Cricetulus griseus: one gene and its partner. The protein of the gene in region 1 purifies or fractionates together with the protein of each later gene. This does not show direct contact. Links are inferred from orthologs where the notes say so. Each region holds a gene or a part of one and is shown on either strand. Other genes may lie near its edges. The genes, in order: Kat6a and Csnk2b.

Region 1 (3,809 bases):
GTATTTTGGAAACCAGTCCTCTATTAGATGTGGGGTTGGTGAAGATTTTTTCCCATTCTGTGGGCTGCCATTTTGTCATGTTGACTATATCCTTTGCCTTACAGAAGCTTCTCAGTTTTGGGAGGTCCAATTTATTAATTGTCAATCTCAATGTCTGTGCTACTGGTGTTATGTTTAGGAAGCCGTCTCCTGTACCAATTAATTCAAGGGTACCTCCCACTTTTCTCTTCTAAGACGTTCATTGTTGAGGTCTTTGATCCATTTGGACTCAAGTTTTGTGCATGATGATAGATATAGATCTATCTGCTATCTTCTACATGTCAGCATCCAGTTATGCCAGCACCATGTTTTGAAGATGCTTTCTTTTGCCCAATGTATAACTTGAGCTTCTTTGTCAAAAATCAGGTGTTCATTAATATCAGAATTTTCAATTCAATTCCATTGGTCTACCTGTCTATTTTTGTGCCATTACCAAGCTGTTTTCAAGACTATAGCTCTATAGTAGAGCTTTAAGTCAGGGATGGTTATGCCTCCTGAAGTTCCTTTATTGTACAGGGTTGTTTGGCTATCCTGGGCCTTTTGTTTTTCCATATAAAGTTGAGTATTGTCCTTTCAATGTCTGTGAAGAACTGTGTTGGGATTTTGATGGGGATTGCATTGAATCTGTAGATTGCTTTTGGCAAGATTGCTATTTTTACTGTGTTGATCCTACCTATCCAAGAGCATGGGAGATCTTTCCATTTTCTGGCATCTTCTTTAATTTCTTTCTTTAAAGACTCAGAGTTCTTGCTTTGTAGGTCTTTCACTTGTATGGTTAGTGTTACCCCAAGATATTTTATGTTGTTTGTGGCTATTGTAAAGTGTGATATTTCTCTGATTTCTTCCTCAACCCATTTATGGTCTATATATAGTGGGGCTACTGATTTTTTTGAGTTAATCTTATATCCTGCCACTTTGCTGAAGGTGTTTATCAGCTGTAGGAGTTCCCTGGTTGTCCAGGATCTTATCTGACTCTTGAGTTAAAGGGTGATGGAGTAACTCATTACCGGGCTGGGTGGTCTCTGGTGTTAGTCGGCCTTGCCAGTTGCTGAATGCTGAGTGCTAACTAAGTGAGGTGCTTGATCACCTCCACTAAAAGAAGGAATGCTAAGGAGGCTCTGAACATCAGTGGGAACTTGTTCAGGAACCTTCCTGAATCAAGCCTCTAATGGATCTTAGTCAGTAGTCTATTCTTTTTGTTGTTTTGTTATTTAAGTCACTTGCTGTACATAGGTCAGGCCTGCCTCAGCCTGTTCACTTCTGGGATTACAGGTGCACAACCCAGCAACTAGCTATGCATCACTCATAAGTGGCAACAATAACAGAATGGGCTGAGTTATATGATGTAGCTAGACTTCTAGTCATTTACTTTTAAAATAGACTTATTTTTACTTCACATTCAGACAGGCAGCAGCTGAGGCTCATGTGATATGAGGTAGGAAGAAACTAGACTTTTGCATTCTAGCCTAGATTTTGTGAAGCATTGTGTTGTCTACACCTTCATTGTGTTTGCTGTGAATGGTCTCAATCTGAGGTTTTTTATTTTCACAGGTGAATTTGAAGAAATCAACATTGCTATGTACTCTTTTACTTTATCTTTTGCCTTATTTAGTGGAACTTTTTATTTTCTTAAAATTTGGACTTGATATGTAGTAGATAGAACTTGGATTTTTCAGACAGGAGTTGTAGCTTGGTGGTGATTGGCCCTGAACTCAGTCCCTAGAACCAAAAACAAAGCAACCAAAAAGTCCTTGTGGCATGTGTTGTGTATGTATGTATTTGTATTTGTGTGTCTATGTCTGTGTGTATAAATGTGTGCATGTATGTATATGTGTATGTATGCATGTGTATGTGTACATGTGTGTATGTATACTTGTGTTAGTATATGTATATATGTGTTTACATTTGTGCATGTATGTATGTTGAGTGCGCATGAGGCAGGGGAAGACAAAAGAAGAATTATGAGTATGTGTGACACAGTCTAAATATGAAGTCCATGCTGGCCTCAAATTTGTGACCCATTTGCCTTAGCCTCCTAAATGTTAAAACTCACACCGTACCAAGCACACATTGTCTAATTTTAAGGCTTATTATATGATGTGTGCTTTTAATGTGGTGATAATTAGTCTTTGCTTTTTTCTAAATTATGATCCAGAGTTTTACTCTTGTCATATATTGATGTATATAGGAAACTTACTCTGCTGCGCGCGTGTGTGCGTGCGTGCGTGCGTGCGTGTGTGTATGTGAACTGACACTTGGTGCTCTGTCTTGGATCACTGTGTGTTACAATAGTGTCCCAGATGTAAGCCACTGTGACCTTGACAGTTTTCTCTCATACAACTATTGCCTTTGTTGACTTCCCAGTTATATCACAAACACACCTTTGACTCTCTCTCTCCATGCTCATAGCCTGTAAAAATTAATAGTAATTGAGAATGTATTTAATGCCACTGAACTCTACTTTAAAATGATTAAAATTTTATCTTACATATATTTTGCCCCAATTTAGAAAAAGTAATGCCAATGCTGAATTTATTCCCTCTACATATTATTAGCACTTTGACTTTTCTTATTTGTTTAGTACTGCATGTCAGTGTTTAAAACTAAATGCCTTGCACTTGTTCCCATATAAAACACATTGAGTAACAATTGTTTACAGGAATGGCTCAATTTTGGTCTACAGGAAATGGCTTATGATACTACTTCAAGGAATGATTTTGTGGAAACTTAAAAAAAAAAAGACAAAGAGGTAACAGAAAAGCAAACAAAAGAGGCTGATTTTTAACTTGAGTTCACTCTCCTGCTGCTCGTTACATACATACTCATAGAGTTTGACCTCCGACTGCTTTAACTAGTAGGTGGTAGAGTCATGTCACCCAGGATTGTTTGTTTTGCCAGTTCATTGTATAACTTTATGTGTTATTAATCTGCCTTATTTCTTTGATTCTTCTGTTATACATGTTGGTCTCAGAGAAATACTAGTCTTGTAACCTGTCTTTACTCTCTTATTTTTTCTATGCAGACACTCCTATTCTAAAACCAGTATCTCTCTTGCGAAAATGTGATGTGAACAGTGCTTCACTTGAGCCAGATACCTCTACACCTATGAAAAAGAAAAAGGGATGGCCCAAAGGCAAGAGCCGAAAACCTATCCACTGGAAGAAAAGACCTGGACGAAAACCAGGATTTAAATTGAATCAGGAAATCATAGCTGTTTCTACGAAAGAATGCATAATTGAGCCCATAGTTCCCATTAAACCTGGGCGTAAACCCAGAACTCAAGAAAATGAAGAAATGGTTGAGGTAAAAGAGGACTTGCCCTTGTTGGAAGAAAGGAAAGAGGAGATGCATACAGAAGCAGATGAGGAGGAAGAGGACACGACTAGCAGTGACATTAGAGCCATGTCCCCATTGGACAGCAGCAACAGCCCTGAGGCAGAACCCAAAGAACCCGAGGCAGATGAGGAAGATGAGAAACCCTTGGAAGAGCAAAGGCAATCTGAGGAAGAGCCTCAAGAGCTTGAAGAGCAGGAGCAAGAGGAAGACGATGAAGTGACTGCAGAGGCCAACCAGAACGAAGACCATGATGCAGATGATGAGGATGATGGCCATCTGGAGTCTCTGAAAACAAAAGAGCCAGAGGAGCAGCCAGCCAGAGAAGACCACAAGGAGGAGCCTGGCATTCCGGAATCTTTTTTAGATGCAAACATGCAGGACAGTAGGGAGAATACAAAGGATAAGGATGAAACTGAACCAGATTCTGAAGAGGA
Region 2 (4,239 bases), on another chromosome or scaffold:
CTGTGGCTGTCTTTGCTCCCCACCTGGGTACAAACTGGTTGGCAGGTCGTTTGGGCCGGTACTCTGGATGCACCATGAAGAGCATGTGAGGGAAACCAGTGCCGAAGTAGGCGCCGTCCGTGTGGTGGTGCCTTGATGATTTGGGTGTGTACACGTCCATGCACTTGGGGCAGTAGAGCTTCACCATGGCCTCGCCTGGGATGTCCGAAAGGCCTGGGACACAGCCAGACCCTGAAGACCAGGTACCCCAAGTCCTCCCACCCTCCCACAGGGCTCAGGCACTGACCACATCAACCTGACTGGCAAGTAGTGCCCTCCTCTCCCCTCTCCAACACTCACCGATGGGAAGCATTGGCTGGTTCTCACAGTACACACGAGGACAGTAGCCAAAGTCTCCCTGCTGGTACTTTTCCAACTGAGGTGTGCAAAATGGAAGGGACTGGTGAGTACGTGTGCAGAGCACCTCACTTCCCCACCTCCCAGGCCTCCCACCTCTAACTAGAAGCCCTTCTTTGTCAAGACAGGTCCTCAAGCTTCCTTCTCAACTGCTTTCCTCAAGTTGGCAGGCTGCAGAACACAAGGGCCATTTGCTCTCTCTGTTCCCTATCCATGGCCTCATCTCCCTCCCTGAAAACAATACCTTCAGTAGGACCCTCAGTGAGGATTGGATTCTCAGCCCAGCTCTGGGCTTCTCCTCGTCTCCTCTGCTAGACTTCTTGACAGGTACGAAACATGCCTTCTGCCTCATGCACCTGTTTGTCTCACTGCCTCAGAAGCAGGAGCAGAGCCTCACCATTTGGGCGATGCCTCGGTTGGTGAGGATGTATCGGGCGTGGATCAACCCATAAAGCATCTCCGCTGCCTGTTCAATCAGGTCACTCTGGTTGGGGTTGTCTTCCAGCTCTTCATCTGAAAGGTGGGATGGCCACTTGTACCCCACCTTATCCCCAAGGTGGCCTCCTACAGTTTATCCAGCACCTGTTTCTGACACACCCTATCCATCACCCAGGCCATCAGCACTGCCCTCTCTCCACACCTCTCTAGTCTCTGCCAGCTTCTTCCCCTTCCCAACACATAAACATAATTGCAGAGGGTGGCACTCTAGACCAGCAGGAGGAAAGCAGCAGCACACAACACACCAGAAGACTGGCATTGTGAGAGACAGTGGAGTTACATTTGGAGAGCATGGAAACAAATGTTACCAGTCCCTGAAGGCAAGGGTCAGGTAGGGAATCAAAATAATGAAGAAGCCAGGCAGTGGTGTATGTGCCATACAAAACCCAGCACGTGGAGGCCAAGGCAGGAAGAGCAAGTGGTAAAGTCCAGTTTGGGTTATGAATGGAGAGGAGAGGTGGGGGAGAAAACACATAAACAAACAAACAAGCGAGCAAGAGACTCGGGAATAGACAGAAGAGCTAGAGAATCAAAAGGAAATTTAGAAATTCAAGAAGCGGTTGGGCAGTGGTGGCACATGCATTTAACACCAGCACTCGGGAGGTAGAGGCAGGTGAATCTCTGTGAGTTCAAGGCCAGAGAAACCCTTCTGGAAAAACCGAAAAAGAAAAGAGAAAAATTCAAGAAGCAAGCGAGCAGAGACCAGAATAAGAAGAAACCAAAGCACACACAAGTGCACATATCATGGACCCCACACGCAGCGACGGCCCTGGGGGCAGGCACGTTACCAGGCTCCAGGTCCAAGATCATGTCTAGAGCTTGCCGGTAGTGAGGCACTTGCTCATTGAGTCCAGTCAGATTAAACTTGTCCTGGATGTAGTCCTCATCCACCTACCGGGACAGGGGAGTCAAGAGGTTGAAACTAGTGTGGGAAGCCCCGTCTTTCACCTGGCCCAGGAGACAAACGACCGCATCGGCTCCCCTTGTTTCCTATTCTCACTTCTGCAGAGGTGTTCCGTCTCCCACAGAAACCGCAGCTCTCTTCTTTCCGGGCCAACAAGGTACAGCGCATTATTCAACTTGTCTCCCTCCTCTAAAGGACCCGGGTTTGCTCTCTGCTCTGGGACATCAGACTCTCACAGGCATTGATCATTTCCTACGTTACCACACTGTGGTTTTCATGTTACATGAAACATTTTAACTTTCCTGACGGTCACCAGCGATACCTCTGTTAGCCATGCACAGAGTGAACCCCAGCGCTCAGGAGACTGAGGCACTAGGATTGCCAGGAGTTCAAGGACAGTCTGGGCTACACAGTCAGCTTCGGGGGAAATCTCATCTCAGACAACATACAACGAAAACACCGAGGGCACGTGGAGAGGGCCCAGAAAGCCAGCTAAACTCACCTCACAGAAGAACTCATTACCACGGAGCCCACAGAACCAGGAAATCCAGGAAACCTCCTCAGAGCTACTCATCTTTACGTCGGCTGAGGAAGAAGGGCGTTAAGTGGAGACCAGGCTGTTTCTTGGTCTCTTCCCTCCTCCCACACACACGGTCTCCTCAACGGCGGAGGAATCCGAGGCCACTGGCGTTGAGTGGCCCCGGCCCGTGAAGCACCGCTCTCCACGCCTCTCTTCTTTACCTCAGCCCCCCGACAGCGTGGTGAGAACCAGCTCCACTCCTTCCCAGGGGGTGACAGGTCCCGATCTGTGGGTGTTGCCCGGCGCGAGGCCAGGCCCCGGCCCCCCGGCCCCCCGGCCCCCGGCCGCGCGCGGCCCGCGCGGCCCCACCGAGGCACTCGCCTGGCGCCCGTCCCGAGGCTTCCCGAGTCCATCCTCCCCCCCGAGCCCGCCTCTCGGGGCCTCGCGGCGCCGGCGGGAGCCCCGCACCCCCGCGGGACCCACGAGCGTCCCCACAGCCGCTCCTCTCCTCAGGCCACCCGGCCTCCTTCGGCCGCCGACCCGGTCCCTTCCTTCCTCGCCCCCACATCTCGGAGCGCGGAGCCCGGCGCCGCGGCGCGGGGACGAGCGCAGACTCACCGGCCGGACGGGGACTGGGACTGGGGCGGGGAAGGGGAGCCGAGCTTCGAAGGAACCGCAGCGACCGCTACAGCGCAGGAAGCCGAGCGGACCGCGGCAGGCGAAGTGGGGAGGGGGGAAGGGGAACTGGGGAGGGTGGGGAGGGAGAGAGGGCAACGCGCAGGCGCCGAGGACCGCCCCTGCCCCTAGGGACGCCGGGAAATGGAGTCCCGTAGAGAGGCAGAAAGTGACGCGATGCGGGGACGGCGAACCACCAATCCCAAGAGTCCGCGCGCATGACTCCGGGGTCGCGAGGCCCTAGCGGAAGCCGCCTGGGGGCGGGGCGAGCCGAGCCTCCACCGGAAGCGGAAGCCAGGTTACAGCCGCCTTCCCGACCGGGAAGCCTGGGAAATATAGTCCTACGCGCTTTGGGCTCGGCAGGCTGCGAGCCGGCGCCGGCGGCCGCTGAGGTCCCCGCTGCGCGCCCGCTCCGTCCCGCTCCGGTCGTCCCTGCCGCCCCGGGGACTGACACCGTCGCCGAGGACCAGGCATGCGGCCCGGAGGTGCGGCTCGGAGTGCGGGGCTGAGGTCGCAGGGCTTGGGCTGCCGAGCCGGGCGGCGGGGGCGGGGGACCTGCTGCACCGCCCCGCGCGCTAACCTGAGGTGGCGCCTGCCATTCTGCCGCTCATCCCTTTGCACTTCTCCATGTGTTGCTGCTGCTTGCTGCTGCTGCTGCTGTTGCTGCTGCTGCTGCTGCTGCGGACCCCACGTGAGCTGCTTGCTCTTCGAGCCCTGCTCGGAGTAGCGGTGAGGGGCGCCGTGGTGTTAGCGCGTCTCGCGGCTGCCCGGCATCCCGCGGCTCCCTGGCGTCCTCAGGCCTCCCGGCTCCACAAGAGGGGCTTGGAGCGGGAGGGACCACGTCGAGGGTGGCGAAGAGCATTGTGGGGGCGTTATGTAAAAGTAGGACCCCAACCGACAGGTCCCCCTGGGCCCTCGCGCTGTCTGGGCACGCGATGCCTGACGCGGATGCTTGGGAAGGTTCCAGCGCGGGAAACTGAACCTTGTGGGTGTTTTGTTGTGGTTGGCTGCTGCGCATGCGTCTCTGTGCCAGGTGGGTGTCGGATTGTGTCAACTCTTGCAGATGACGAGAGCGCCATTTTTCGGTACGGAAGTGACAGTGCAACGCTTTTACCCCGACACCTTCTGGAATGATGTCACGCCTGTTTTTCTTTGGGAAAAGGAGACACCCCCCCCCAGCCCCACGTAAGATCGAGCAAGATTTAAAAGTCCCGGCCGATATTCCCTAACGGTATGTGTTACAGGG

The links.
Region 2: the proteins of Kat6a (region 1) and Csnk2b purify together in Homo sapiens (affinity purification with mass spectrometry; 3 studies listed by BioGRID and IntAct, with this or other methods). This does not show direct contact. The link is inferred for Cricetulus griseus from reciprocal best matches to the Homo sapiens genes KAT6A and CSNK2B.

The regions. Positions count from the first base shown.
Region 1 is NW_023276807.1:60,781,006-60,784,814, reverse strand, and holds part of Kat6a (histone acetyltransferase KAT6A), read left to right. Parts: intron 1-3,061; coding exon 3,062-3,809. UniProt on the Homo sapiens protein: Histone acetyltransferase that acetylates lysine residues in histone H3 and histone H4 (in vitro). Component of the MOZ/MORF complex which has a histone H3 acetyltransferase activity. May act as a transcriptional coactivator for RUNX1 and RUNX2.
Region 2 is NW_023276806.1:231,642,690-231,646,928, forward strand, and holds the start of Csnk2b (casein kinase II subunit beta), read right to left. Parts: upstream 3,086-4,239; 5' UTR 2,937-3,085; intron 2,384-2,936; 5' UTR 2,373-2,383; coding exon 2,301-2,372; intron 1,786-2,300; coding exon 1,683-1,785; intron 910-1,682; coding exon 794-909; intron 416-793; coding exon 340-415; intron 214-339; coding exon 24-213; intron 1-23. UniProt on the Homo sapiens protein: Regulatory subunit of casein kinase II/CK2.